Saccharomyces cerevisiae S288C: one gene and its partners. Changing the gene in region 1 together with any one later gene gives a genetic interaction. Each region holds a gene or a part of one and is shown in the gene's direction. Other genes may lie near its edges. The genes, in order: UGA1, UGA2 and GAD1.

Region 1 (10,888 bases):
TCCGCGGAGTTTACTGTCGAAAGGTTTTTTTTTTTTCCGCAGCATTTGGAAAACAATTGATGTGAGTAATTTAGAACAAAATATACGGCAGTAATCTCCCAAATTTGCGATACTACCACAATTCAAGATCGTGCGCGAGAGTAAGTCGAGCACGGTGCTGTATATTTTCATACATTATACATTCGAGGACCTTTCACCAAACAAGAGGAACTTAGCTGATACTAAACGAAGATTAGAAAAAGAGCAAAAAAAAACAAAAAAAGAACCACCGAAACATTAAAAGTGGGAATAATGTCGCATCAAATGGCGCCATGGATACCCATGTTTATTCAATCGTGCAAAAATAACACTGAACCGTTTGTATCATTTCAATTTGCTACTGTTGACGAACTAACGAACAAACCACGTTGTAGAACGGTAGTGTTCAGAGATTTTTTATTTCATGACAAAAGAACTAATGTGTTGACTTTTAACACTGATATGAGGAGCTCAAAGATAACTGAATCATTTATAACTCCAAATTCAAATAACTCTAGCGACAGCAAAAGATGTGAGACTCCATTTTTCGAAGCATGTTTCTATTTCCCGGAAACTTGGGAGCAGTATCGCTTCAGTGGCCAATGCTTTACAATATCTAAACAATTTAAGAAAATACCGGCTGAGATTGTAACCAAGTATGACATATTTTCACCGCGGTTTTCAGAGACAAATGATGACAGCACTGACGAAGAAATAGATACTCCAATTAACGACGACGACGACGACGATAAAAATAATGACGCCGACAATAATGACATTAACGAAGATAACAAACTTATAGAATCCATAGAGAACGATGAACACCATGAGGATGAAGACGACTACTACCCTCAACCACAAGAATGGGAGGCTGAATTACTAAGACAATGGTCCTCTCTATCAAGGCATACCAAGTCATTGTATAGGAAGCCAGCCCCGGGCCAGAAACTTACCTCTGAAACTAGCAAACAACTGGACAAACTCCATAGAGGAGTTGACGGTGCTAAAGAGGACGCTGGACTGGAAAACTTTGGTATTGTCTGTCTTTGTGTTGATTCTGTTGATTTTTTGAACTTGAAAGAGGGAAGAGGTGGTGAAAGATGGATTTTCCAGAAAACCGACGGCAAAGACGAAGATCTGTGGGAGGAACAAGAAGTGTGTCCGTGAGAAATGTCAATCATTATTGCTAACGTTCGCGATGGTTAATGCTTTGTATTCGCGCTATCTCGATTTCTACCTATATAGTTAATCTCTGTACAAAAACAATCTTTCCAACTATCCATTAATCATAGTATATTATCAGCGTCGGCGATTTTACCACGCTTGACAAAAGCCGCGGGCGGGATTCCTGTGGGTAGTGGCACCGGCAGTTAATCTAATCAAAGGCGCTTGAAGGAAGAGATAGATAATAGAACAAAGCAATCGCCGCTTTGGACGGCAAATATGTTTATCCATTGGTGCGGTGATTGGATATGATTTGTCTCCAGTAGTATAAGCAAGCGCCAGATCTGTTTACTGTAAAATTAAGTGAGTAATCTCGCGGGATGTAATGATTTAAGGGAATCTGGTTCAGGTTTTCACATATATTTGTATATAAGGCCATTTGTAATTTCAATAGTTTTAGGATTTTTCCTTCTCCCAAAATACTCACTTACTGTGTTACATTACAGAAAGAACAGACAAGAAACCGTCAATAAGAAATATAACTAAGAACAATGTCTATTTGTGAACAATACTACCCAGAAGAGCCAACCAAACCAACTGTTAAGACCGAGTCCATTCCTGGTCCTGAATCCCAGAAGCAGTTAAAGGAACTGGGTGAAGTTTTTGACACAAGACCAGCATATTTTTTGGCTGATTATGAGAAATCTTTAGGTAACTATATCACTGATGTGGATGGGAACACATATTTGGATTTGTATGCCCAAATCTCTTCAATTGCACTTGGTTATAACAACCCTGCTTTGATCAAGGCAGCACAATCACCAGAAATGATCCGTGCTTTGGTCGACCGTCCTGCCTTAGGTAACTTCCCATCTAAGGATTTAGACAAGATATTGAAGCAAATATTGAAATCTGCGCCAAAGGGTCAAGATCACGTCTGGTCAGGGCTTTCCGGTGCAGATGCCAATGAATTAGCGTTCAAGGCTGCCTTTATTTATTACCGTGCCAAACAAAGGGGCTATGATGCCGATTTTTCTGAAAAGGAAAACTTGTCTGTCATGGACAATGACGCCCCTGGCGCCCCTCATCTTGCCGTACTATCGTTCAAGAGAGCGTTCCACGGTAGATTGTTTGCCTCCGGTTCCACAACTTGTTCTAAACCAATTCACAAGTTGGATTTCCCAGCCTTCCACTGGCCTCATGCTGAGTATCCATCTTACCAATACCCATTAGATGAAAATTCTGATGCAAACCGTAAAGAGGATGACCATTGCTTGGCCATTGTTGAAGAATTAATCAAAACCTGGTCTATTCCAGTTGCTGCCTTAATCATCGAACCAATTCAATCTGAGGGAGGTGATAACCACGCTTCTAAGTATTTCTTACAAAAGCTAAGAGACATTACCTTGAAGTATAACGTTGTCTACATCATAGATGAAGTGCAAACAGGTGTCGGAGCCACCGGTAAGCTATGGTGTCATGAGTACGCCGATATTCAACCACCTGTGGATTTAGTGACCTTTTCCAAGAAATTCCAAAGTGCAGGATATTTCTTCCACGACCCTAAATTCATTCCAAACAAACCATACAGACAATTCAACACATGGTGTGGTGAACCTGCAAGAATGATCATTGCAGGTGCCATTGGACAGGAAATCTCCGACAAGAAGTTGACTGAACAATGTTCAAGAGTAGGTGATTATTTGTTCAAGAAATTGGAGGGTTTGCAGAAGAAATACCCTGAAAACTTTCAAAACTTGAGAGGTAAAGGAAGAGGCACATTCATTGCCTGGGATTTGCCTACTGGTGAGAAGAGAGACTTACTATTGAAGAAATTGAAGTTGAATGGTTGCAACGTTGGTGGATGTGCAGTCCATGCAGTGAGATTAAGACCTTCATTAACATTCGAGGAGAAGCATGCTGATATCTTTATTGAAGCATTAGCCAAATCAGTTAATGAATTATGATTGTATATTAGCGAGGCCGTGTCACGTTCCCTTTTTTGGTCTTTATATATGTGTATCTTGTTATAATTTTAAAGAAAAGTTTTATATTACTCATCAGTTGTGTGTGAAAAATATGGGCGGGTATTCACAATAGGAAAAAAAAAATGGGTTTGGTGACTGCAGTAAAGACGTGCTAAAAAAAAAAAAGTTGTTTTTATCTGAACCTTAAATATATCATTTATGAGTGTATATATTATACAAACGCAATAACAGTGGCTCCCGCCCTCCACCTCCGCCTGCTACTAGTAATCTACCAGTAATTGTGTTTGTTTTGGGAAAGATCGTTCGCTTACTCACCGAACAACTTTCTGACTCTCTTCAATACAGAGTCCTTTTCAGGGTCGTAGGGATGATCTTTAGATGGAATTTCTAAAATAGCAGGGAACGCATTGGTGAAGGAGTCCACTCTAGCTCTTATGTTTTCCGCGATATGTTGGTTGATTAGAAGGATGGCAATATCGTCTCTCTCTTCAGTAAAGTGATTAAACTTGTCAGTGATTTCCTCCTTAGTAGTCTTACCTTCTTGGTAAACAAAAAAGTTCTTTTCTTGGGTTTCAGGAGTGATTTGTCCAATCCCGGCTAACAATAAACCAGTTGTAGTATCTTCGTCAGCTATCACAGCTATAAGAGTACGTTTCTCAGCCATGATTTAGTTACTATGCGTCAGTGAGACTAGCTATGAATATAGAAATGTAGTGCTCTATTTTCTTAATTCTTTGTCAACTCGATATAATAAATGTAGTGCTTGCAATTCACGTTGGTTTTCCTGTTATCGTTCGCCTTTATTTTTTTTTTTTCTTTCGTTTTCCTACTTCCCTTTACCGGCGTAAGCGCAGTGAAATTTTTTTAGTACGCACGTACGCAAGTTTCAGCAGCAATAAGGGGAAAGATGATGATAATAACTAAGAAAAACAGCAAACTTGGTATGAACGCATCAAAAATTGGAAAATGTTGGTAAGAAATAGGTATCTGGGTGAACTGCTCAAAAACTCTCGATCGTTTAGTGTGCTGAATTCCTCGGTACGTTCAGGTCACAACAAATGGTCAACCATCAAGCACGGTAAAGCCAAGAATGATGCGGAACGAAACAAAATTAATAACAAGTTTGCAAACCAGATAGCAATGTCAGTCAAGTTAGGCAACGGTATTACGGATCCGAGCATGAATATAAGATTAGCCACCAGCATCGAGCTAGCAAATAAAAACAATGTCAGCAAAAAAGTTATTGAGAACGCCATCCGGAAAGCTTCTGGAAGCAGCGCATCGGGCAAGGACTCAAACGCTTCTGAGCTATGTGTATACGAGGGAATGGGGCCCGGCGGGGTCGCTATAGTGGTGGAAGCGCTGACAGACAACAAGAACAGGACCATAGGTCTGATAAGGAGTGCATTTAATAAAGCTAATGGATCGATGACTCCAACGTTGTTTTTCTTCGACAAAAAAGGATACGTTACAATGGTACCTCCGAAGATGTTAGACACTGAGGACAAGGTGCTAGAAAGCGTACTGGAGATTCAAGGCATCGAAGACATTGCGCCTGTGCAGGAAGACGCAGAAGATTTAGAGTGTGATACCGAAACTGAAACTACAGGCCAAACTTACGAGGCGGTGATGGAACCTGCCGATACCAATAAGGTGGCCGCCCTACTGAAGGAGCGTGGTTTCCACATCAGAGACTTGGGCATCGGCTACAATGCCAAGCCGGATATGGAAGTTTTCGTGCAAGGCGATGAAACGCTCGAGAAACTACAGAAACTGACCACAGCGCTCGAGGACATCGACGAAGTGACGTCGTTGTACACTAACGCTAGCAACGCTTAATCCAACCAAACCGTAAATAAATAATCAATACCACAAATACCTGTATATACTAAACAAACAGTAGTAATAACTGTAATAAAGAGTAAAAACAACAACAAAGACAATCGTACGTAAAAACACCAAGCGGACACCAGCACTTGCCTGCTGCGGACTGTTGTCTGCGGACTGGCGGGGGTCGAGCAAGAACCGACGAAGTAACCGACGGAAGGCGGGCGGAGACGGAGACGCAGCCGAGATCTATTTTTACTCAGCGGTAATATTAGATCATGGCTAGGGGGATCTGGAAGTACAATGATGTGCTCTCCCCCTCTCAAACACAACACCAGGATGAACTAAGGGCTCATCTCGAAAGTCGAAGGTGCCTCATTCAGGTTATTAGTGGTGCCTGTTGTGTCTTCCATGAACAAGGAGCACTTAATTACTTGTTGTTGCATGAGATATCATTTTTTTTTTTCCCTCTTTCTTGGGGTCTTGACAGTCATCAAATCGAAGTTTTTAGTTTTTCTTCTTCGGGAAGATCAATTTTAGGTAGAAAAGTGTAGATGAAAAACGAAGGATACTGCTATTTACTGTAAGTACTCTTCGGTCCATATTGGAAGACCAAGGCATAATAAGGATATATTCCGAGGAGATAATTGGGATATAATCCTCCATTGCTTCCGAAATTTGTTTAAACACTTCTAGTTCATTTCGGGTTGGTTCGATCTTCGTTTCCACTTTTAACTTACTCCCAGTTAGTATAATATAAGTAGTTAAGGTATGGCAAGCTGCAATCCGACCAGGAAGAAGAGCTCTGCTTCAAGCCTATCTATGTGGAGAACGATTCTCATGGCGTTAACAACACTACCGCTAAGTGTTCTTTCGCAGGAGTTGGTTCCAGCTAATAGCACAACATCGAGCACAGCTCCTTCCATCACTTCGCTTTCCGCAGTTGAGTCATTTACGTCCAGTACCGATGCAACGAGCAGCGCAAGTTTATCAACGCCGAGTATAGCTTCAGTATCCTTTACTTCCTTCCCACAAAGTTCTTCACTGCTTACTCTTTCGTCAACATTATCCTCAGAACTTTCCTCTTCGTCCATGCAAGTTTCGTCGTCTTCAACATCGTCGTCTTCTTCGGAGGTTACGTCATCATCGTCATCATCATCAATATCTCCTTCCTCTTCATCATCAACAATAATATCATCGTCATCATCACTGCCGACATTCACTGTGGCATCAACATCTTCGACAGTTGCCTCCTCCACACTTTCCACTAGCTCATCGTTGGTTATCTCTACGTCTTCGTCAACGTTTACGTTTAGTTCGGAAAGTTCAAGCTCTTTGATTTCCTCTTCAATTTCAACATCCGTTTCGACTTCTTCAGTGTACGTTCCCTCCTCTTCAACTTCATCTCCACCTTCGTCCTCATCCGAATTGACATCATCCTCGTACTCATCATCCTCATCCTCATCCACCCTCTTTTCCTACTCCTCCTCATTTTCATCATCCTCATCCTCATCATCCTCATCATCATCCTCATCCTCATCATCATCATCATCATCATCATCATATTTCACCCTCTCCACATCTTCCTCTTCATCCATATACTCGTCTTCGTCATATCCTTCATTTTCATCTTCATCTTCCTCAAACCCTACCTCATCAATCACTTCTACATCCGCCTCATCTTCTATTACTCCCGCTTCCGAATATTCCAATTTGGCAAAAACCATAACTAGTATAATAGAAGGCCAGACCATCCTCTCTAACTACTATACCACAATAACGTATTCACCGACAGCATCCGCATCTTCAGGAAAAAATTCACATCACTCAGGCTTATCAAAAAAGAATCGTAATATTATCATCGGTTGTGTGGTTGGCATAGGTGCCCCCCTCATCCTAATTCTACTAATATTGATTTACATGTTTTGTGTTCAGCCTAAAAAAACGGATTTCATTGACTCTGACGGTAAAATTGTCACAGCTTATCGTAGTAACATTTTCACCAAAATATGGTATTTCTTGCTGGGTAAAAAAATTGGTGAAACAGAAAGATTCAGCTCAGATTCCCCCATCGGCAGCAATAATATTCAGAATTTTGGTGATATCGATCCAGAAGATATACTTAACAATGACAACCCCTACACCCCTAAACACACTAATGTTGAAGGCTACGACGACGACGACGACGACGACGCTAATGATGAAAACCTATCATCCAACTTCCATAACAGAGGCATAGATGATCAATACTCACCTACTAAATCTGCATCATATTCAATGTCGAATAGTAATAGTCAAGATTACAACGACGCAGATGAAGTAATGCACGATGAAAACATTCATCGTGTTTATGATGACAGCGAAGCTAGCATCGACGAGAACTATTACACGAAACCAAACAACGGCTTAAATATCACGAACTATTAAATCATAGCGAAAGCAGCTTTGCCATAACTTTTCTTCTTAAAATCACCCTCGGTCATTTCGTTCTTCTTTTTCCGATTCAATTCCTAATAATTTATGCATATTACAGAACTTTTTTTTCCCTTTTTCTGTCACAGGTTTCCCAATTTTTTTGACGACTAAATAATAACATAACCACTACGTTCACTTCCCCGTATATATACATATATACTTAATATTATAAACGCATATACTTTTATAAACTTGGAATAAGTATTATATATTTATTTTGACCATCCGGAAATGCTTTATTTTACACTTGGAAAGAAAAGTGCATTTGGAAAACTTTTACATGTCACCCAAGTGCATACTGCTGACGATACAGGTTTAGAGACTAAAGAGAGCGCATGGAAGAAAACTTCAAAGGAAGAGAAGAAGGATCGCAGAGTTCAAAGGAACTCTTAATTTGGGCCCATCTTTTGAAAATATTGTCTCTGCAAAAGCTTCGAACACCATTTTGGATCCTCTGGAGAAGGCAAGACAGAATGCAGAGGAAGCTAAGAAATTACCTTGTTAGCTTAAGGTTCCTGTTCCTAAGGGTAGCGGTCACCACAAATGGAAAAGCGACTTTCCCAATGTAATTATTTTTGTTTGTTCCGCAAGTATCTAACAATATGATATATTGCTAGTTGAAAATCGAACACTCGAGTTACTTCCGTGATAGTTTAATGGTCAGAATGGGCGCTTGTCGCGTGCCAGATCGGGGTTCAATTCCCCGTCGCGGAGATATTTTTTATCATCACAAAAATAAGATAGCAAAACTGAAGAAACGATGAGTTAGTTTTAACTTTTAAAAGATCGTCCAATATTAACATAAAGGAACCCAGTTCTTTGGAAATAACAGGAAAGTGCAGAAAGTTCATTAGAAATCAACGATGATCTGATATACATATATATATATATATATATATATATATATAAAGGTTATTAATAGCCTTCGAACAACTCATCTATCTGTGCGATGACGTTAATATGAAGTATTTCTCCTTTTCTTGTTACTAGTGAACCCTTTTTAAACATTTCAGGTTCATTATTGTAGTTTATCCCACATTCAGAAAATAGTATTTCCTGTTTCTCATTACTAAATGTTCCACATAGTTTCTTCTCGGATTCCTGGGGAGTTAAGCCACACTTTATTATTAACTGCCAAAACGTCGTATTATAAAGATTGTTTATATGTGTATCGACATATCTCCAGGATAAATAATCTTTTATCGTTTGTAAATTAGGGTATGCTACACACCTTGAATCGAAATATGGCAAATGCTTGATATTCAACGGCTTTTCTGGGAAAAACTTGGCCCATAATGCGACGTAATTGGACGTGAAAAAAGAACCAAATAAAGTCGCAAGCTTGTCTTTCCTTCTGTTAAATAAAGTTGTACTTGACTTCAAAATAAATGAGTATTCGTCACTCTCCCCGAACGCCAATATAATATCATTTTTGTACTTGAGGACAAGGTTCTTAGCACATGCATTCATTAACTTCAAAGCATTTTCATCGTTTGGCTTGGCAAACTCGTAGAACTTGGAAAATTCATGAAACTTCTTGCCGTCTATTCTTACCACAATATAACACTGAGGCAAAATAACATCGTGTGTTTCAAATTGCCTTACGTATCCAAATTTAGAGTTTGCCATCCCGCTCGCATTAGGAAGTAGAATCTTTGAACATTAAGGCACATGACTGGCTATGAGCCCTTTAAGTTTTTCTCTATCCGCATGTCTTCAATTAATTCTCCATCAGTGATTTTTAAAACAATAAAAACTTTCAATCCGGGTAAAACTGAAGAATATAGAGCGAAAAAAGCGTATGTGCAGGACAAGGGATACTTACGCCAAAAAAGACCATGTCCATTTTATTATAGGATACCCACTTGCACGGCGTCAAAGTACTCAATTGGCTGTGCTTCTTCAAAAAAACTAACATACACAAGAACCAAATTTAAATTCAACTTGGTTACCCAAAGAGAGAATTCATTATAGAAAGATATAAAAATTTTGTAGAAAAAAAACAACAACGTTGGAAATGGCGAAGACTATCAAAGTTATCAGGAAGAAGGACCCCAAAAAGAAGAACCTATCCGATCCTTTAGCAAAACAAAAACTAGTTTGGAAAATCGGACACGTTTTAACTTTAGTTTTTGGTTTATTATTTTCTATCACGTATTTCTACCATGTCCTAATCTTCTTCAAATATCGTTCCTGGAAGTGGTTGTTCTTAAGGGTCAATAAAAATTACTCGTTTATTCAAAGTAAGAGATGGTACATGAAACTTTTGAGTTGGAGCCCACAGGTAATGTACCGTTTGTCATTAATTGGCGTATTTATGTCTGAGTCCGTCACAATGCAACAGAACTGGGTTGGACTTAACCCTACTTGGAATGACCTTTTGTCCTCTGAGAACTTTCATACCCTTTTGATTGCCTGTTTATGGTTCTTTGGTGGTGGTAAGTCTTTTTACAAGATTTTGCCTTACATGATTTTAAGTTATCTACACCTAACTAAAATGAACTACGAATTGAATGCTAACAAAGAAGAAAAGATCCCTTTAACACCCAAAGACAGAAAAATGCTACACTTACTTGCGTACTCTGAATTACTTGTTATCTTAGCGCTAACACTAGACACTATATTGTTTAAGACGGGTACATCCGGATTTATGCTCGTCATTTATGTTGGTATTTATTGGTTGAGGTTGAACTTCTCTCCATACGCACAAGTGGCTGTTTTGGAGTTACTTGTCAAGTTTGAAAAATACGTCCCCAAAAAATATAGAGACAAATGGCAGGTTATAAAGAACTTTATTTATATGAAAATGAAGGAGCACGAAAAGAGAACAGAAGAAGTTGCCAGATACGCGTAAGAAATTCTCTAACTTAAGATGACCAGATGTCATGTTCGTTTACTTATTTTCCTCTCCTCTTACCTTTTTTGGCCACTAACGCTCGTACAGAAATGGACGGCATACATACAATTTAATCAATTCTCTTAAATACCGTTTTATACCTCATTTCTGACTTTTCAGCCGTTAATGTTCCTTTTTTTTTTAGACTATTGTATGTATCACTTCCTGAATGATGTCTTCCATAACACAAACGTGACGTGCAAATAAACATACATAAAAATATTATTGAAAATACAGATTATTTAAAATTATATAACCCGTTCCCTGTTTATTCAGAAGCAGTAGCTCTGGTGTAGATAGCTTGCTTGGAGTGCTTGGAGATTGGCTTGATGATACCTTCCTTTTCCAAGTGTCTCAAAGCAATTCTAGCTAAAGAACCACCAATCTTTAATCTGTCGACCAAAACAGAGACAGAAACGTATCTGTAAGTTGGAACTTCCTTCAAGATTCTGTCGTACTTCTCTTGGTCTAAAATGACAGCGTGTTGAGCTCTGTCTTTCATGGACTTTTTGGACCACTT
Region 2 (8,223 bases), on another chromosome or scaffold:
ACGGGCACGGAAATGGAGCATTCACGACTCCAAATACCAACAAATGCAAAAAAAAAAGATAATGGTTCAGAATATATGCTTGTTAAAAATCCAGCGGCACTCGTTAAGAAAAACAACAGAGATGTTTTTTTAGCGATAGTTCTAGCAAACTGTGATTGCCTTATATTTTGGCTGAAAATTTTTTTTGTTAGAAAATATAAAACAATACCTGACAAGTAAAATAAAACATTTTCTATTGCAACTCCAACCCTTAAGGCATGGTAGATGCTATCGTTATTACTTTTAATAAACAGCCTAACGAAAAAAGTCCACAACTGAGAAAACGCGTATTCATGCTCAAATTGAGGTTTTCCGTTTTTGGAAGTTATGTTCTTGATAAAAAAAACACTGTCCCATGATAGTAGCTTATTCCAAAAATACTTGTTCCAATAACTGTTGATTTCAGAGGGAGAAGAACATAATTCGTTTAATAAAAGTGATGTTGATGTATCAAACTGCCTAATTGGAGTCAAAAAAACCAGTAAATACTGTATTGAACGGAATAATACAAAATAAAGTGTCAACCCCACAATCATATTTTAATTTAGTCTTATTCCGCCTCCTCTCTCGAAGCCTCTCTTTTATGTCTTTTTTCGATGATGAGGCTTACTTTTTTTTTCAACTAAGCCTTGAAAAAAAAAGTTTGATTTAAAAGGGATTTTCTATTTTAAGTATTTAAATGACCGACAGGAAGCTCATGCAGAAAAGGCACCTGTAATAGCTTATTGATCATTCCAATAAATAGGAAAGTATAACTCGAATTAAGAATAAGGAATGGGACTTATTTCATACGAAAATGAGGCGATAAACGAGGTGAAAAAGGCAGATAACCATCACGTTAGCAAATTTGTGACTAGTTACTATGGGCCATCATCGTCGTCATGGCAGTCAGGAATATGGATTTTGTTTGTGCTGTTTGTTGCCGCAGTAATCCTTATAATACTGTTCACTTTTGTAGCGAACAGAAGGAGACGAAGGATGGGGCGTGCTCCCATTAGAGGTACGGCATGGTTGACACCGCCTTCATACAGACAGTCTCAGCAACAATATACTGGGACCGTTCAGCAACGGACAGATGATTATGTTCCTGAGTATACAGAAACAGCGAACGAACATGATCTTGGATACTATGACCAGCGGGGCGAGTTTCACCCCAACGATAAGGCTGCATACGTGGCCCCCCCGCCATTGGTACAAGAATGTTCATCAGAATCTGTTAATTCTTTAGAAAGACCTCCCGCTGCTGTAGTTCACCAAGCTAACTCTTTAGATACGGATTACGGTTTAACAAGGCCTAGCAATGGGCGCGTTCCAGCTGTAAGTGATACGGTGGAGCAATTGGAAAGGCTTCCGGGCGGGACTACAACGCAGGAAATTAACCCACCGGAGAGGGCAAAGGTAAATGCAAGGTCATGAACTGAATCTTTTTTTCCGGCTGTCCTCTTACAGTTGAGTTACAATATTTTGCCAGAAATATTTACATTTTTTTACCCAATCTCTATAATAATTATTTTAATTCCTAATCCGCTTCAGGCCCGCGGTCGTTGAAGTGCTATAGTTTATATTCAGTACATTGTCTTTAATCTCTCAGTATTATTTTATCAATAGTAAATACTTCAAGTCCATCGCACGGCGTGGTGGTGATAAAGGGAAAATGCGCGCGGGATTAGCAAAGGCGGCCAATGGATTAAGGGTGACAAGATAGCACCACATCACATCACATCACCATCAGTAATGGAGAGGAAATAGGGTATAAATACTCGTCAGAGATCAATAGATATTATTTCGCAACGTCCTTTATTGTTCTGTTCTTATTTGATCAATTAAGCTAGAAAACCAGCTACATTAAAAGCAAATTTTACAAACTACTATTTCAACATGACTTTGAGTAAGTATTCTAAACCAACTCTAAACGACCCTAATTTATTCAGAGAATCTGGTTATATTGACGGAAAATGGGTTAAGGGCACTGACGAAGTTTTTGAGGTGGTAGACCCTGCTTCCGGCGAAATCATAGCAAGAGTTCCCGAACAACCAGTCTCCGTGGTTGAGGAAGCGATTGATGTTGCCTATGAAACTTTCAAGACGTACAAGAATACAACACCAAGAGAGAGGGCAAAGTGGCTCAGAAACATGTATAACTTAATGCTTGAAAATTTGGATGATCTGGCAACCATCATTACTTTAGAAAATGGTAAAGCTCTAGGGGAAGCTAAAGGAGAAATCAAATACGCGGCTTCGTATTTTGAGTGGTACGCCGAGGAAGCACCCCGTTTATATGGTGCTACTATTCAACCCTTGAACCCTCACAACAGAGTATTCACAATTAGGCAACCTGTTGGTGTATGCGGTATAATTTGTCCATGGAATTTTCCGAGCGCCATGATCACGAGAAAGGCCGCCGCTGCTTTAGCTGTGGGCTGCACAGTAGTCATCAAGCCAGACTCTCAAACGCCGCTATCTGCTTTAGCAATGGCATATTTGGCTGAAAAGGCAGGCTTTCCCAAGGGTTCGTTTAATGTTATTCTTTCACATGCCAACACACCAAAGCTTGGTAAAACATTATGTGAATCACCAAAAGTCAAGAAAGTTACTTTTACTGGTTCTACAAACGTCGGTAAAATCTTGATGAAACAATCTTCTTCTACTTTGAAGAAACTGTCTTTTGAGCTGGGTGGTAACGCCCCTTTCATAGTCTTTGAGGATGCCGATTTGGATCAAGCCTTGGAACAAGCCATGGCTTGTAAATTTAGGGGTTTGGGTCAAACATGTGTGTGCGCAAATAGACTTTACGTTCACTCATCCATAATTGATAAATTTGCGAAATTACTCGCGGAGAGGGTCAAAAAATTCGTAATTGGCCATGGTTTGGACCCAAAAACTACACATGGTTGTGTCATTAACTCCAGCGCTATTGAAAAAGTTGAAAGACATAAACAGGATGCCATTGATAAGGGAGCAAAAGTTGTGCTTGAAGGTGGACGTTTAACTGAGTTAGGTCCTAACTTTTATGCTCCAGTAATTTTGTCACACGTTCCCTCAACAGCTATTGTTTCCAAGGAGGAGACTTTTGGTCCATTATGTCCAATCTTTTCTTTTGATACTATGGAAGAAGTTGTCGGATATGCTAATGATACTGAGTTTGGTTTAGCAGCATATGTCTTTTCTAAAAATGTCAACACTTTATACACTGTGTCTGAAGCTTTGGAAACTGGTATGGTTTCATGTAATACAGGTGTTTTTTCGGATTGTTCTATACCATTTGGTGGTGTTAAAGAGTCAGGATTTGGAAGAGAAGGTTCGCTATATGGTATTGAAGATTACACTGTTTTGAAGACCATCACAATTGGGAATTTGCCAAACAGCATTTAAAGCAATAGTAATCGTGGACGATACTTAGAATTGAATATGATTCTTTGTAATGATTGTATATATCTATTGCATGTATAAATACTCTACTCCTCGTATATAGAAAGTTAAGTAAATTTTTTGAAAGAAAAGAGTTCATATATTTACGGAGTTTTGAAGTTTTTCACAAGCGGAATAAGTGATACCATTCATAAAATATCATATCTATCTATCTATCTATTTTTGTGAGATATATGGTACGAAAATAAATGCCTTTCCTTTTAAGCCTTTCTGTAAGCTTTTATGTATACAACGTTTCTTTATCTTTATTTCGGACCTTGTTTCATGTACTTTTCCTTATAAATCCAATCTGAACCTAATAGATTTGCACCTTTTTTATCGGCTATCCTAAACCATGCAGCAGCTCTGGCGAGATCCCTTTTCTTTACGTTTGAAGTTTTGGACCAAATTGTCCCGCTTAAGCACATTGAGTCTACATGGCCTAATAGAGCAGCTTTTTCCAAAAATTTCAAACCTTTTCGCTCGTCGGGATGATCCATCCCAAGACCCTTTAAATATGCCATACCACATTCGTACAAGGCAGGTGCTGTTGGTTCAGGCGCTATATCAGGGATATCGTCCATTGAAGCAAAATTTAACGGATTTATATCTAAATCAAGAACCTCAGCAGCAAAGGATTTGATATCAGTGGCAGCCATTAAATATCCTAATGATAATTTCAAGTTCTTGTCCACTCCGCAGCCATGTCGCAGGGCTAGTCCATATAACAGAAACGCAGTTTTGTTTCCGCACGCGCAGGCTTTTTTCAGTCGTTGTGCAGATTCTTCAAGTTTGCCTTGATGACGCATAGTAATTGCCTGTCCGATGTGTGAAGATTCATCATTATCATAAGGTTCTGGGTGAAATTTAAGCTTCCCGCACTTGCTTGTTGCGTTCGATCCTTCTTTTTTATGACTGAAGGAATCCATGCATTGCGTCGAATTATTGGGCAACATACCATCTAAAGAAAGTGTTCTTCTTCTAACTTTCGGGTGGTAGGGCTTATTTGATTGTTCTGTTAGTGCACTTAGTTCACCTATTTTTGAATCTTTTTCCGTTGTATGGAAATCCGAGAAAGTTCTCAAATGAGTCCTATTTGGACGTGCTTTACTGTTCTTTTTTTTATCCGTGGATGACTGAGGTGTTGATGCTGTTTTAAAATGGAAAACTGGGTTTGGAGGAAAAATATACCTAGCTAAATGTGGACTGGAATTATTAATGGTACTTGAAGTAGATGGAAGTTGAATATTCTCCCCAGAGAAGTCCAATGAATTGGTGGCAGACCGGATAGGGCTTGATCCTTCAGACTCAAGGTCTTTCTTATTTTTTGCTCTTGTCCTAGGAGATTTAAAAAGTTTTTTTAGCGAATTTAGTGACGTTTTTTTTTTATGAGCTTTATATGGTGGCGTTGGAGGTAATGAAATATCATTTGTCATGGTATTTGTTTTCGTTATCGTCGAGGTAGAGGAATTAGACCGTTTAGGAGATGGTTTGATGGGTGTTGTATCACTCTTAGTTAACTTGAGTTTGGAGAATGAGGATGATTCACTTTCAAAAGAAGACTGAGTTTTCGGCTTTGATAGTTGTCCAACTTCAGAAAAGGAGGTGTTGGTGCTTGTTGAACTTCCGTTCCGATAAAGACAATTACTCTTTTGCGTGGTTGTGAACTCATTGGGGCAACTCTGCTTCTCGGATATTCTGTCAGTTTTTGTAGATGTATTAATATTATTACTAGTAGTTCTGTTATTCTTACTATTAGCATTATTGTCAACGCTAGTATTATTGTCTGATATCAGCGTAGGATAAAGATGGTGCAGTCTAGTATTTTCAATCCTATATTTCTCGAAGTTGAAAGGATTAGGGCTATTTGTGCTTCTATTGCCATTTTCAAGGTTTGGGTACTTATAATCTTTCTCATTTCTATTCATTTGGGGTTTCATGCCACTAAAAGTCTCAGAGTCATAATCTTCTTCGACGATATAAGAGTATCTCGACTTCACGGGCAAATGCCTTTCCACTTTACCGGAAGAGTATTTGCCTCTCAAAGTGGAATCCTTTTCTTTTAAATTGTCTATGATAAGAGAACGATCTCTAGCTTGTATATATGTTGGAGAGGGATTAGTTCTATACCTTAATGAAGGGAATTCCGACGCAGGCATACATAATGTTGGACCACTTGTTTGTGACAGTTGCGAATTTCTCGACGCGTTTTCTTCTTCTAATAAAGCTTCTTGCAGAATCAGTTCATCTTCCAAGCTGAGGTCTAATTTGTCAAGAAGTCTTTCCGTGGTTTGAATAGATTCGAATGAAATGCTACTTTTATTTGAATGAGCATAGCTAAATTGTGAATCCATTGATGACTCGAAGCTATTATTGGGTGGTGGGCTTTGTGAAACCTCTGAAGAGTTAGCTTTTCTTTCTTGATCGTCGCTTCCTATTCGATCAGCCCAAGAAGTGTTTTTTAAATTTTGATTCATTACTTTTCGTGTGACGTAAAAGTCCGTTTGTTTTTCTAGATTTTCTGTTTTTTCTCGAGGCTCCTACAAGTTCCACCTATATTTAGCATTGAGGAACAGAATGTGCTATCGCAAAGAGCAATGGCAACAGAAAAAAAGAGTTGCTAAAGAAGAACTATTTTTGAATGTCCGTGGTAATACAATGGAAGACTACTAGAACACGATGGCAGATAAGGTGATTTGATAATCAAATTCAACGACGGTTGCACCGTTGTTCTTTCTGCCGCTCTTCGTCCGGAGCCTTCTGTGATAATTGTTTTAACGCGCAGAAACACACGCAGGCTGCGTAAAGGAATGGTGGGGCTCGAAGAAGTGACAGTGGGTGTCCACGGAATGTTCTGAGCGCAGGGATCCGGTGTTGCCATCGCACACGATATGAGACGCGTTCATTTTTTCCAGCAGTCACCTAAAAGTTCAAGAAACGCTATGTTGTAATGCAGCTGTATTGTACACTGGCTGGTATTGCCGTTCTGATCTATGACTTACTTGTTAGAGGTAATAGCTGTCTTAGATCGGCTTGCTTCTTCTGACTTCCTTCTTTTTTTTTTTTTTTTCGAAGTGAGGCATGCTGCAGTTTTGTGCAGCTTCTCTTGCATCACTTCCTGTATTATTTACGTTGTTTACATTATCAGGTATTTTGTATTATTTTTTGCGCAACAGCAAGCAAACGCAATAGCGATAAATGCCATAATATAATCAAAATTTAGCAAGGATACATAGCAGCAAACCCGAACCTTTAGGCCTCTCATAGATGAAGAAAATTTGTACAATTCTTTTGGTTCTTTGGCTCTTCAAATATGAATTTATTAAGAGGAAATCCTGAAGCATCAGAACATCGCAAACTTTTTATTCGCAAGAGGATTTATCCTCTGATTAGTTATATATGAATATGTGTTCCTTCTGCATGATTTTGATATCAATAGTATGCATTTTTTTTCGATTCGTCGTAGAAACATAGCTACTCTCATGACCAAATGACTCTTTTTGGCTTTGACAGTGGAACAGCCAAGTTTTTATGTAGAAATATATTATCTGTTAACTGGAAATGATGTCTTAGGCCCATAAAATGTGCTAGAACGTATGGCTAATCCTTTTGCTCTGTATTCAATTGAGTATTTTGCTTAATTTCTATTTGATAATTGAACTTCTTACGTGTATAAATGGTTGCATATTTCTTTAGTAAGTACTATTTTCAAATATGAGTGAAGGATATTGTGGCTCAAGTAATTCCTCTTTCTTTTTTCATCCGTATGGTAAGCAAAGGGTCACAAAGTAACCGATAGTGTGTAGACCTTAGATCTTCCTTCAAAGATTTCAAGTCTGCGATAAATAAACATGAGAATACTTGCAACAACAACTTTTATAAACAATGAAGTTCATTATGAACAGTATTTATTTCACTGCTAAACTTTACGTAAACTTATGTGGAACATCTTTGTCGACAGATGGACGATAAGTAAAATTGTGTTATTATAATTCAAATTTTCATGGTAAGAACATCGGCTTTCTACTCCTCTGTGTACGAAGATCTTGTACGTAATGATGGCCCATACTTATAAAGTATAAACGGGATAATAGCTAGACCTAAAGTTAGGAACCCCACTAAGGACGAACCCCATGCCACAGGATAGTTCTTAGTAGCTAAATTGTCATACATTGCTCTACCAAACAACGGAAAAGCACAGGCAAACGAAGCCCGACAAAAACCATTGCCTGCAAAAACGGATGCAACATACTTTGGGTAGCATGTAGCCAAATATGCAAAAGTTGCTTGGAAAATGTTAAAGACAGCTAAAACAAAAAAAACTTCCGAGATAACTGGCAAAATCCAATGCACTCGAGCAGTCCAACCAAATAAGAACAAAGACAGAGGCAGGCACCAGCAGACACACATTGCCACGATTAAAAAAGCTTCCGGGGTGAATGTGCCGTTTCTAAAACGTGGTACAATAATCCTCATGTTTAAAATACCGAATAAGCCATAAGCAAGTACGCACCCTACGCAAAACCCCATATAGGCCAAGCCAACTTCAACTAAGCTGAAGTGGTATATACCTACAAATACAATAGGGAATGCTTCAAAGAATAAGTAGAAACAACCATAAGCAACAGCGATATAGAGATCAAAAGCCAAAATTGCAGGCTCTTTGATAATCATTTTGAGAGGCCTATACAAAGTATTGATCAAAAAAGTTCTTGCATCAACTTCTCTATCGAGTTTATCCTGTTCAGTATAGTACCTGTCATCACCAGTTTCTTT
Region 3 (11,276 bases), on another chromosome or scaffold:
AATCGCGTCAGTATTCATTTTGAAAAATTTGGAGTTTGAGTACTGTGCCATGATACCAGCAAAGTTTTGATATGTTGATTCTTGGACCAACGTTGGAATTTCGTTTATAAATTTCCCTATCTTCCCATTCAAGAAAATCATATCTGAATCTAAAAAGTAATTGAGAGCATCATATACACCGTCGTATTTGTTGAAAACATTTGAGGGATCTGTTTCGATTAATTGCACAAAAAAATCGAATAAACGACTAATTGCGGATTCGTTATTAGGAGAAGTAACCAATAAAGCAAAAAGATTCTTCTCAAAGCTCACCTTTATTTTTCTTATGTCTTCGTCTGAAGTGAAGTAATCTTCAATCTCTCTCTCCCATTTATCGGGTGGAAAGACGCCACTAAGAGTCTGGTTCAGTTTTGTGTACTCAGATAAAGATTTCCCGCAAGACAGAGAGTTAAAAATCTCACTTTCCACCATTTTTTTCACTCTTTCTTCTGATGAATCCTCAGCGAACTTCAAAAAATTTGTCCAAAACTCATTAAGAACCTCAGCGCTGTTTCTCGCAGAAAAGCCCTTTTCATTCAGTCTTTGCACCGATTTTTGCCAAAATGGAAGCCATTCAAGATAATAATCAAGAAAACTGTGTCTTTTAGTCGAGCTGTACAATGCAAACACAGCATTGAAAAATCCTGGCGATGGTGAAGTACGGGAAACCGATAAAAATTTGAGTACTTTTTCTTTAGAAGATTTATCGTATGACCATATTGTCCCATCTTCATAGTCATCCAAGGTAGCTAAAAGGTTCAGTATTGATGGGAGAACAGGGCATACTTTTAGAATATTCTTTGACGTAATATGAGTCAACGATTTCAATAGTTTTTTCACCGCTAACTTCATTATATTTTTGTGGGAAGGCATGTAACCTCTTGTATAAAGAACATCAATCAATCGAAGAACTGTTTCGTAGGCATTTGTATTTTGCCCATTTTTTAAGTTAAGTAGTTTCCAGATTGACTCATCAGAAAGAATCACCTTAAGACTGGAAGAATTACGTTCTGAGACGTCTTTGTTATGAACAAAAAGCTTAATCAGCAGCAATACGGCACTTGCTATAACTCTGTGGTATCTAAACTCAGATTCTTCTTTACTGGAGTAACGTTCATCAGAAATGGTATCTTCATTCTCGTTTACAACAATCTCCTTTACTAAATTCAATAGTTGTTCTTGAAAAACAGCCCATAAGGCGTTAATTTTTGCTGGGTCTTTGTTGAAACACTCTGTTAATTCATTAAGAGAAGGTTTGGAAACACTATAATCGAGTTCGCATGTACCGAGAAGTATCAAAGGTATAAAATCCTTTAAAAACTTCGATATTTTCTTCCGAAGGCTTTTGACAAGCATTATAGTAATTTGATGTGATTGCAGTCTGATGACCTTGTAATCACTAATTATCAGTTTAGCATATATCTGCGACCAACAAAGAAGAAAAATGTCATTGAAAAAGTACTCATTCTGGTTAAAGTCGCTGATCAAATTGGAAAGATCCATTAAAGCTTTTTCTTTTGTAGTTTCATCTCTTTTCAGAAGAGATTTGAAAATGAGTTTCAGCTCGTTCGAGTACAAGGAGTTTAAAAGACTTGGATCCGGCAAACCATCAAAGTAGTTTAAGGATATTCTAACACCATTATGGCCGAGCCCTAAATCTGTGTTATACTGTTGAAATGTATTGATTCCACCAAACGACATTAAGAACCAACTATTGCTTGAACTTTTTTTGATGGCTTAGCAGATTTGAACTATTAAGAAGGACTTCTTCAGTATTGTATATATTGAAGAAAACCATCTGAAGTTGCAACATTTGAATTTTTCCTATGACGTTTTTTTTCCTCGCTTCATCAATATTTTTCAGTTTTCCATGTTGGGGCATAATCTGGGTTAACTCGAATTGACAAGTATATAGTCAAGCTGGAGGTAAGAAGTACGTAACATTTAAAGAGCATTGTGACGATATTCTGTTCTTGATTAACTATAATTTTAAATATGAAGTTACACTAATTGCAAAGTAGCAAAAAATTTGGACGAGTCCGGAATCGAACCGGAGACCTCTCCCATGCTAAGGGAGCGCGCTACCGACTACGCCACACGCCCATTTCTTATTGTAATTTCTAGCCACTGTAAAAAGTGAAATCAGTTTAAAATGGAAGTGTCTATCAAAACTTACTATCCACTATCAAGTAATTACTCATGATTGTCGTGTTGGAATAAAAATCAACTATCATCTACTAACTAGTATTTACGTTACTAGTATATTATCATATACGGTGTTAGAAGATGACGCAAATGATGAGAAATAGTCATCTAAATTAGTGGAAGCTGAAACGCAAGGATTGATAATGTAATAGGATCAATGAATATTAACATATAAAACGATGATAATAATATTTATAGAATTGTGTAGAATTGCAGATTCCCTTTTATGGATTCCTAAATCCTCGAGGAGAACTTCTAGTATATCTACATACCTAATATTATAGCCTTAATCACAATGGAATCCCAACAATTACATCAAAATCCACATTCTCTACATGTCGGAAGAGGAACCACCTACCCCCTATAGTCTAGCATCCATCTTATTACATATACGACGTAGAAATATGGCATAAAGGTAAAGATTTAAAAGCTGCCATCAAATTTAATGGGGGTGGAACGCACGACTTGATAATGCAATAGGATAATGAGTGACAACATATAAAGTGGAACGAGAAACCATAATATTATTATGAAGAATCATCGATCCTTTTATGGATTCCTATATTTTCGAGTAAAACTTAAGGTATATTCGGTATAAGATAATGTTGTCCAAATTGTATTGTTATGGAAATGGTATTCAACAACTATCTCAAAAGTCACCTATTTCCCGTGCTTTTCGCATTCTATCACCTGTATTATTATATTGCATGATATCAAAAAGATGAATCATTCAGTGTAAATGGCACACAAATGTGCAAGTGCCAAGCTATTGAGTGGAATAATGGCCTTGTTATTTAATGGTAAGAGCCTTCTGAGGCCAATCTGCCTTCACGTACACAACCACCTTGTTAGTAACAGTGATACCAACATAGTTTGGCCGTGAGGCTAACCTTAGTGGTTTATTGCAATACTCAATACTGTTCTTAGACAATTATCCAACCATCGCCATTAAATGATAAAAAAATAAATTGACTGCTTAATTTTGCTGATACAATGCACTATATTATCGGCTGATGTAATGGTATTGTTATTCAACCTCCTCTCGGCATTGCAACATACTAATAGCCACCCTAGGGTGTCATTAGCATGCCTATACCGAGGCATACGAAAGCAACTAGCCATCAATTCCATCACCCTGTCATTCAACTCCGCTTCATGATCAGGACAGTTTGCACGTTATCAGATAAACTATGATACCGCTATTATTGAACTCTCTATGATATTCTATGAGCGTTTCTATTAAAAAGCTTGAGAGAACAGTAGGTTCCACTTGAGCTACATCTGGGTTGATAGTAGGGTCTGACATTGTTACTGACTGACATTCGCATAATTTGGTACCGGTACAAGCTTTGGCACATGTTCGTGATACCTTCGTCTGGTTTATTCATTGGCGCCAGTTCTCCCATTTTGGACGATTCTTTTCAAACAAGGTCTTAGGATTCGACGACGTGCTAGCTATAGCACAAGGCCAAGAATTAACCCAAAAACTGTATATTGTCTCTGCCTCAATGCTATCCGAATATCAAGCCCGCAAATATGGACAGATAAATCCAGTCTACCATATAGTACTCTGGATTCTTCCGGAATCAACTGCTGACTTTCTATATATGTAGCCGCATCTACGTGTTCAGATAGTTTTTATCACGCAGGTTGCCGTTTATACTTTGTTTTCTTGGAAGTATCTCGAGTAACAGTGATGCTCAGTCTCGTTTAGAAGAGTGTACCTTCCCGGGTTCCTAGGCGCTGATGCTGGTAAATTCTAGTTGGTTCTTGACATTTTTCAAATAATCAAATCATCTCATTTGCGATAGCAAATGTACAACGTGTGAAAGTAAAGAAGTTCATAGTATATGGGCTGTTCAAATTCTTGTTCACTGCGTTTATAAATAATCTTTCTGGCAAGTTAGACAAATTAAGAGCAAGAGTTGCATAAGAGCAGCATATAAATACACGTCAATTTAGGCATTCTTGTGATTATTAAGTTCATCAGAGTGAATTAGAAATTCATTATTTTACTATTTTTTTTTTTTCACCCTTAACAGCAAGGTTGAACTCTATAAGGAAAAGGGATAGATCGTGCGGCACACCAGAAAAAGGGGATCAGTAAAGTGATGCAACATAAATACATATATAAGAGAGCATAATTGACCACTGAACTGCAACGCACTCTCTGAAATCTCACCTTTTGGCGATGCTAAAATGTTTCAAGATATTACACGTCGCTCTTAACAATCCAGGCTGAACAAAACAAGGAATAATGTTACACAGGCACGGTTCTAAGCAGAAGAACTTCGAGAATATCGCTGGAAAAGTTGTCCACGACCTTGCAGGTCTGCAATTGCTTTCTAACGACGTTCAAAAATCCGCTGTCCAAAGTGGTCATCAAGGATCGAACAATATGAGAGATACTTCGTCTCAGGGCATGGCTAATAAGTATTCAGTTCCAAAAAAGGGACTACCTGCTGATTTGTCTTACCAACTGATTCATAATGAATTAACACTTGATGGTAATCCGCATTTGAACCTTGCCAGTTTCGTGAACACTTTTACCACTGATCAGGCAAGGAAATTGATTGATGAAAATTTGACCAAAAATCTTGCTGACAATGATGAATATCCGCAATTAATTGAGCTAACTCAGCGTTGTATTTCTATGCTAGCTCAATTATGGCACGCTAATCCCGATGAAGAACCAATAGGCTGTGCCACCACAGGTTCTAGTGAGGCAATCATGTTGGGTGGACTCGCCATGAAAAAAAGATGGGAACACAGAATGAAGAATGCTGGTAAAGATGCTTCCAAGCCGAACATTATAATGTCTTCTGCGTGCCAAGTGGCATTAGAGAAGTTTACGAGATATTTTGAAGTGGAATGCCGATTGGTTCCGGTATCCCACAGAAGCCATCATATGCTTGACCCAGAGTCGTTATGGGATTATGTAGATGAGAACACTATTGGCTGTTTTGTAATTTTAGGAACCACCTACACTGGCCATTTGGAAAATGTAGAGAAAGTTGCAGATGTCTTGTCCCAAATTGAGGCCAAGCATCCTGATTGGAGCAATACTGATATTCCAATCCATGCGGATGGCGCTTCAGGTGGGTTTATTATCCCATTTGGCTTTGAAAAAGAGCACATGAAAGCTTATGGCATGGAACGTTGGGGGTTCAACCATCCGCGTGTGGTTAGTATGAACACTAGTGGTCATAAGTTTGGCTTAACCACTCCCGGTCTGGGTTGGGTGCTATGGAGAGATGAATCCTTACTGGCTGATGAATTGAGATTCAAACTAAAGTACCTCGGTGGCGTGGAAGAAACTTTCGGTTTGAATTTTTCAAGACCTGGATTTCAAGTTGTCCATCAATACTTCAATTTTGTTTCTCTAGGCCATTCAGGGTATAGAACACAATTCCAAAATTCTCTATTTGTTGCAAGAGCGTTTTCTTTCGAATTATTGAATTCGTCAAAATTGCCCGGATGCTTTGAAATTGTTAGCAGTATCCATGAAAGCATTGAGAACGATTCCGCCCCTAAGTCAGTTAAAGACTATTGGGAACACCCCCAGGCTTACAAACCAGGTGTACCGCTGGTAGCCTTCAAATTGTCCAAGAAATTCCACGAAGAATATCCAGAAGTGCCACAAGCAATCCTTTCCTCTTTACTGAGAGGTAGGGGTTGGATAATACCAAATTACCCACTACCAAAGGCAACGGATGGATCCGATGAGAAGGAGGTATTAAGAGTGGTTTTCAGATCGGAGATGAAGTTGGATTTAGCACAGTTGTTGATCGTTGACATCGAGAGTATCTTGACAAAGTTGATTCATAGTTACGAAAAGGTTTGTCATCATATAGAACTTGCCTCTGAGCAAACTCCAGAGCGCAAGAGTTCGTTCATCTACGAAATGTTGCTGGCATTGGCATCTCCACAAGATGACATCCCAACGCCGGATGAAATCGAAAAGAAAAATAAGCTAAAGGAAACAACAACGAGAAACTATAGAGGAACATGTTGAGTTGAAAAGGTCATCCAATATACCGCCCCCTATATGTATGTACCTTTACCTTTTATTTAAGTACTAGTGCTGTTTAGTTAGGTTATGTGAAGGCACGGGTTTTGTCTTTTTTTTTTTTTTTTTTTACTATTACTTTCTTTTTCAAGCTTTTAAGCGCCGAAATGATATTTAAGGGAAGATGACTAAAGGGACAGCGACGAGGATTCAGCCTGGACAGTGATAGAAAAGTTATGCGGGAATACGTATATATAGTTGTATAAATTGTGGTTATAGAACATCGCAGCGCCTTTAAATATATTGTCTTTTATTTCAATCTTATTCCATCTCTCTCTTGCAACCACGGCAAAGCTGGAGCTATGTCTGAAAAATCAGCTAGCAATAACAAAGCTGAATTCAAAAGGCAGTCATCGCCATTCAGAGAAATCATCTCTGCGGATCACCCAATTTATAAACCTGCTAAGGGAAGGTACTGGCTGTATGTGGCGCTACCATGCCCATGGGCACAAAGAACCTTGATCACCAGGGCCCTGAAAGGGCTAGCGCCTATAATCGGGTGCAGTGTAGCGCATTGGCACCTGGATGACAAAGGCTGGCGATTCCTTGAAGAAGGAGATGGGAAAACCAATGAAAGGCACTGGTTTGACATTGCAGGCGGAATTAGCTCAGTAAATTTAAATACCAGTACTCCTGTGGCTAACATACCCAATAACGCGCATCGGTTGTTGGTCGACGGAACAGATGAACCGCATTACGGGTACAAGAGACTAAGCGACTTCTATTTCAAAACAAAGCCAGACTATAAGGGAAGATTCACCGTACCTGTTCTTTGGGACTTGGAAACATGCACTATAGTAAACAATGAAAGCAGTGATATCATCGGAATTATGAATTCCGCTGCGTTTGATGAGTTTGTCGGCGAAGAATACCGTCAAGTCCGTCTGGTACCTCGGTCTCTAGAGGCACAGATTACAGAGTTCAACTCTTGGGTGTACGATAAAATCAACAACGGTGTATACAAGGCCGGTTTTGCAGAATGTGCAGAGGTATACGAGAGGGAGGTAACAAGCCTTTTTCAATATCTTGACAAATTGGAAAATCTTCTGGACAAGAAGTACACAGATTTGGAGGCGGAGTATGGTAAGAACAACAAGGACAAGATACTAGATCGCTACTTTGCCATCGGAGACACTCTGACCGAGGCGGACGTGAGACTCTACCCAACGATAGTAAGGTTCGACGTGGTATACCATCAACACTTCAAATGCAATCTGGCCACCATCAGAGATGATTATTCCCGTATACACACGTGGCTCAAGAATATATACTGGCGCCACGAAGCCTTCCAGCGCACAACGGACTTTACCCACATAAAACTCGGATATACTCGCTCGCAGCCACGGGTCAACCCGATTGGGATCACCCCACTGGGGCCCAAGCCTGATATCCGACCTCCATGAAATTTTTTTTTTTCTTTCGATTAGCACGCACACACATCACATAGACTGCGTCATAAAAATACACTACGGAAAAACCATAAAGAGCAAAGCGATACCTACTTGGAAGGAAAAGGAGCACGCTTGTAAGGGGGATGGGGGCTAAGAAGTCATTCACTTTCTTTTCCCTTCGCGGTCCGGACCCGGGACCCCTCCTCTCCCCGCACGATTTCTTCCTTTCATATCTTCCTTTTATTCCTATCCCGTTGAAGCAACCGCACTATGACTAAATGGTGCTGGACATCTCCATGGCTGTGACTTGTGTGTATCTCACAGTGGTAACGGCACCGTGGCTCGGAAACGGTTCCTTCGTGACAATTCTAGAACAGGGGCTACAGTCTCGATAATAGAATAATAAGCGCATTTTTGCTAGCGCCGCCGCGGCGCCCGTTTCCCAATAGGGAGGCGCAGTTTATCGGCGGAGCTCTACTTCTTCCTATTTGGGTAAGCCCCTTTCTGTTTTCGGCCAGTGGTTGCTGCAGGCTGCGCCGGAGAACATAGTGATAAGGGATGTAACTTTCGATGAGAGAATTAGCAAGCGGAAAAAAACTATGGCTAGCTGGGAGTTGTTTTTCAATCATATAAAAGGGAGAAATTGTTGCTCACTATGTGACAGTTTCTGGGACGTCTTAACTTTTATTGCAGAGGACTATCAAATCATACAGATATTGTCAAAAAAAAAAAAGACTAATAATAAAAAATGAAGTTATCTCAAGTTGTTGTTTCCGCCGTCGCCTTCACTGGTTTAGTAAGTGCTGCTAACAGTTCTAACAGCTCAAGCTCAAAGAATGCTGCCCAACCAATTGCCGGTTTAAACAACGGTAAGGTTGCAGGCGCCGCTGGTGTTGCTCTAGCTGGTGCTTTGGCCTTTTTGATTTAAATTTAGACTTTGTTTGGAATACATTGAAAGAGAAAGAGTGGTTAATCGGGTGTAGAAAGAACAATCCAAAGTCACCTTTATTGGCGATATGTGTCATTGTTAATCCATTGGCCACATTTTTCCGATGATTTTCTCTCGGTGTGCAATATAGTAATAAGTTTTCACCTTTTCCGGTGAATAATGAAAAAAAAAAAACGAATACAAAAAAAAAAGTAATTTCTTTCAAGTTTATATATATAACAATATAATATTAAGTAATTTTAATCGAAAATTTTTTCCTCTAAAGAACCCAAAAATAAGCAACTATTGAATGAATATCTAAAATGATCGGAAGAAACGGTGTGCGCGGCGGAGGGAAGCGAAAAATTGGGAAACGGAAGCAATCACTTCTGTATTAACAATTGTTTAAAGCTGGGGTGACTGAACCTACTACCCGATTTCATATTATCATTGTTAGTTCCTAATTGCTCGTTCTTAAACGATTTCCAGATATCGTTATAAAATATGCCGAACACAGATGGCGAGTCATTGTGCTCGTCCATGCCAATACTCAGCCCCTTCAGCGAAACATTGGTCTTAGAACTTGGGTATTGGTGCCTGTAGTTTTTGACAAAACGCTGAATAAACTCTTGCTTCTGGGACATATTCAGTTCGTGCCATTTTTTAAAGGGGAAACATGCCTCCTTATCGAAGCTGAGCGAAGAAGAAGAAACAGGCGTGTATATCGTGCTTAAAGGTTTGAACCCAATTCTTGTTCTGATGTAGCTTACGAAAACTTTACCAAACATTAACACTTCACACTCGATCTTCTTCGTTTTGCTGCTTATATGGTACTTGCTGAACGACGCGATGATCCTTTTGTTTTGTTTTCTGAATGCTCGTGTACCCCACTTTCCCTATTGTTCTCTTGTTTCGTGTCCTTGCTTCCTCGGACTGCGCATTTCAACATGACACAAAAAAAAAAGAAAAGAAGGAAAAAAATCATAGTAGAAACTGAGGAATTTTATACTCGTCTTATTTAGAATCGGATAGGTCAAACTCTGTCAGGGGAATAGAGTTCTCTTCGTCGTCAATTATTGGGGTTAGGTCCTTGGCAGTTGTTTCATTGTTTGCCGCCCTTATCCTTATTACCCACAACGTGGCACTTATGATGATTATCATACCAATCCACGACCAGATATTTGGCCAATGCTTGTACAGTGCAACGTCCCAGAAAACCGCATATAGTAGTTGTGTGTATGTCATCAAAGACCCTCTTCCAGCACGTTCTCTTTGGATACCCATAGTTAATAGCAGCTGGAAGATAAAGCCGGACACACCCAGATTACCAAACAGTATCCATTGTTTTTTGGAATGTGGTATCTGGAATTTCATTGAAGGGATAGTGTTAATCCCAATGAAAGACACTATCGCTGTGATCAAAGAAAAATAACTCACACTCATTATAGCGTGAGCCCTCTTACCAATATAACGAATAATGATGTAGACGCAACTCATCCCTAAAACACCCCACAACCCAACCAAAGTGGCAATCAATCTCGATTTTGGGTCCGATGATTCTACTATTTGAGAGGAAGAGTCGGTCAATTCGGGAGTTCCAAATAAAAATGAAGGCCTTACAATTAACACCACGCCCAGCAATGAGATCAGCGAACCGAGCGCTTCCACTTTGGTGAATCTTTCCCTCAGGATAACCCACGACAGGAATATTGTTAGTGATGGTGCCAAAAAAGTGATCAAAACGGCATCACTAATCGTCAAGTACATTAACGAATAATACATTCCAAAGACACCGAAAAATCCAGTGCAACCTCTCAATACTAACCATTTGCGTACTTCAGGTTTACCAAATGGTACATCCGAAATTGTGCTCTTATTAATATACATGTATATCAATGTACCAATATATGTTATTACCATTCTAACTAATAAGATTTGCAATGGCTTGATCTGTCTATCATTGGCAATATCATCGGGGTCGTTTTCTAAGACTTTAGTAGACACCACCATGGCCGAGTTGAAGAAATATGATACTGTCAAGAGAACAAGCCCAATATTTGGTTTCAAATAATCTTTACTTATTCTTTGCAGCGTTGTTTCGTTGCCATCGACGTTAAAGTCTTCATTGCTGTTTGACTCTTTCGGTGAAAGTGATCTCGTAGTAGACGGTAGTTGCAAACTCGTATCATTCATTTCTTTAGAAACTAGTAGGTGTGTATTGTTTTCTCTTTTCATAACCTTCGGTACTGATGGATTCATTTTCTTATCTCTATCTATTTTCTTCACCACAGCAACAACAAATTCATGCCTACGAAAACTTAAGAAGGAAAAAAAAGGAATTTTACTGAAATAAGAAAAATTCTAAAGTAGATCAAAGAACATCTCGCTTTCCAATTCCACATCTTTGTCCAAAATATCCAACTACCATTCGCACCATTCTGCGATCTTTGGAAGGGCCCTTAGGAGCCCTATCCCTTACCGTTAGCCGGTATCTTTTTACCAAATTAAGGTGCATTTCCTAGTTAGGAAAATGCCTCATGACGGTATCTGGGGTCTCTACGTCAAGTAAATATATGTCAATATATCGATGTGTCGGCAGACTTGCTGGCTTGCGCGAGTTAATGAAGTAATAGAACAAGCTTTC

Evidence for each region.
Region 2: mutations in UGA1 (region 1) and UGA2 are lethal when combined (synthetic lethality), as found in Saccharomyces cerevisiae (one study listed by BioGRID).
Region 3: mutations in UGA1 (region 1) and GAD1 impair growth when combined (synthetic growth defect), as found in Saccharomyces cerevisiae (2 studies listed by BioGRID, with this or other methods).

The regions. Positions count from the first base shown.
Region 1 is NC_001139.9:523,496-534,383, forward strand, and holds UGA1 (4-aminobutyrate transaminase), read left to right. Parts: upstream 1-1,733; coding exon 1,734-3,149; downstream 3,150-10,888. Other genes in the region: YGR017W (uncharacterized protein), read left to right, coding at 292-1,185; YGR018C (uncharacterized protein), read right to left, coding at 870-1,199; VMA7 (H(+)-transporting V1 sector ATPase subunit F), read right to left, coding at 3,478-3,834; post-initiation translation factor DPC29, read left to right, coding at 4,137-5,009; MTL1 (Mtl1p), read left to right, coding at 5,769-7,424; THG1 (tRNA guanylyltransferase), read right to left, coding at 8,388-9,101; YGR025W (uncharacterized protein), read left to right, coding at 9,144-9,446; YGR026W (uncharacterized protein), read left to right, coding at 9,490-10,326; 40S ribosomal protein eS25 RPS25A, read right to left, coding at 10,637-10,888. UniProt on the Saccharomyces cerevisiae protein: Required for the degradation of gamma-aminobutyric acid (GABA), which is important for utilization of GABA as nitrogen source and for oxidative stress tolerance.
Region 2 is NC_001134.8:245,093-253,315, forward strand, and holds UGA2 (succinate-semialdehyde dehydrogenase (NAD(P)(+))), read left to right. Parts: upstream 1-1,917; coding exon 1,918-3,411; downstream 3,412-8,223. Other genes in the region: GPI-anchor transamidase GPI18, read right to left, coding at 1-575; RCR1 (Rcr1p), read left to right, coding at 814-1,455; DSF2 (Dsf2p), read right to left, coding at 3,714-5,924; FLR1 (Flr1p), read right to left, coding at 7,471-8,223. UniProt on the Saccharomyces cerevisiae protein: Catalyzes the oxidation of succinate semialdehyde to succinate. Can utilize both NAD(+) or NADP(+) as a coenzyme, but has a 2.5-fold lower activity with NADP(+) than with NAD(+).
Region 3 is NC_001145.3:766,300-777,575, forward strand, and holds GAD1 (glutamate decarboxylase GAD1), read left to right. Parts: upstream 1-4,501; coding exon 4,502-6,259; downstream 6,260-11,276. Other genes in the region: ubiquitin-protein ligase RKR1, read right to left, coding at 1-1,740; YMR247W-A (uncharacterized protein), read left to right, coding at 2,984-3,127; GTO3 (omega-class glutathione transferase), read left to right, coding at 6,616-7,716; HOR7 (Hor7p), read left to right, coding at 8,453-8,632; MLO1 (Mlo1p), read right to left, coding at 9,016-9,420; YMR253C (uncharacterized protein), read right to left, coding at 9,647-10,891.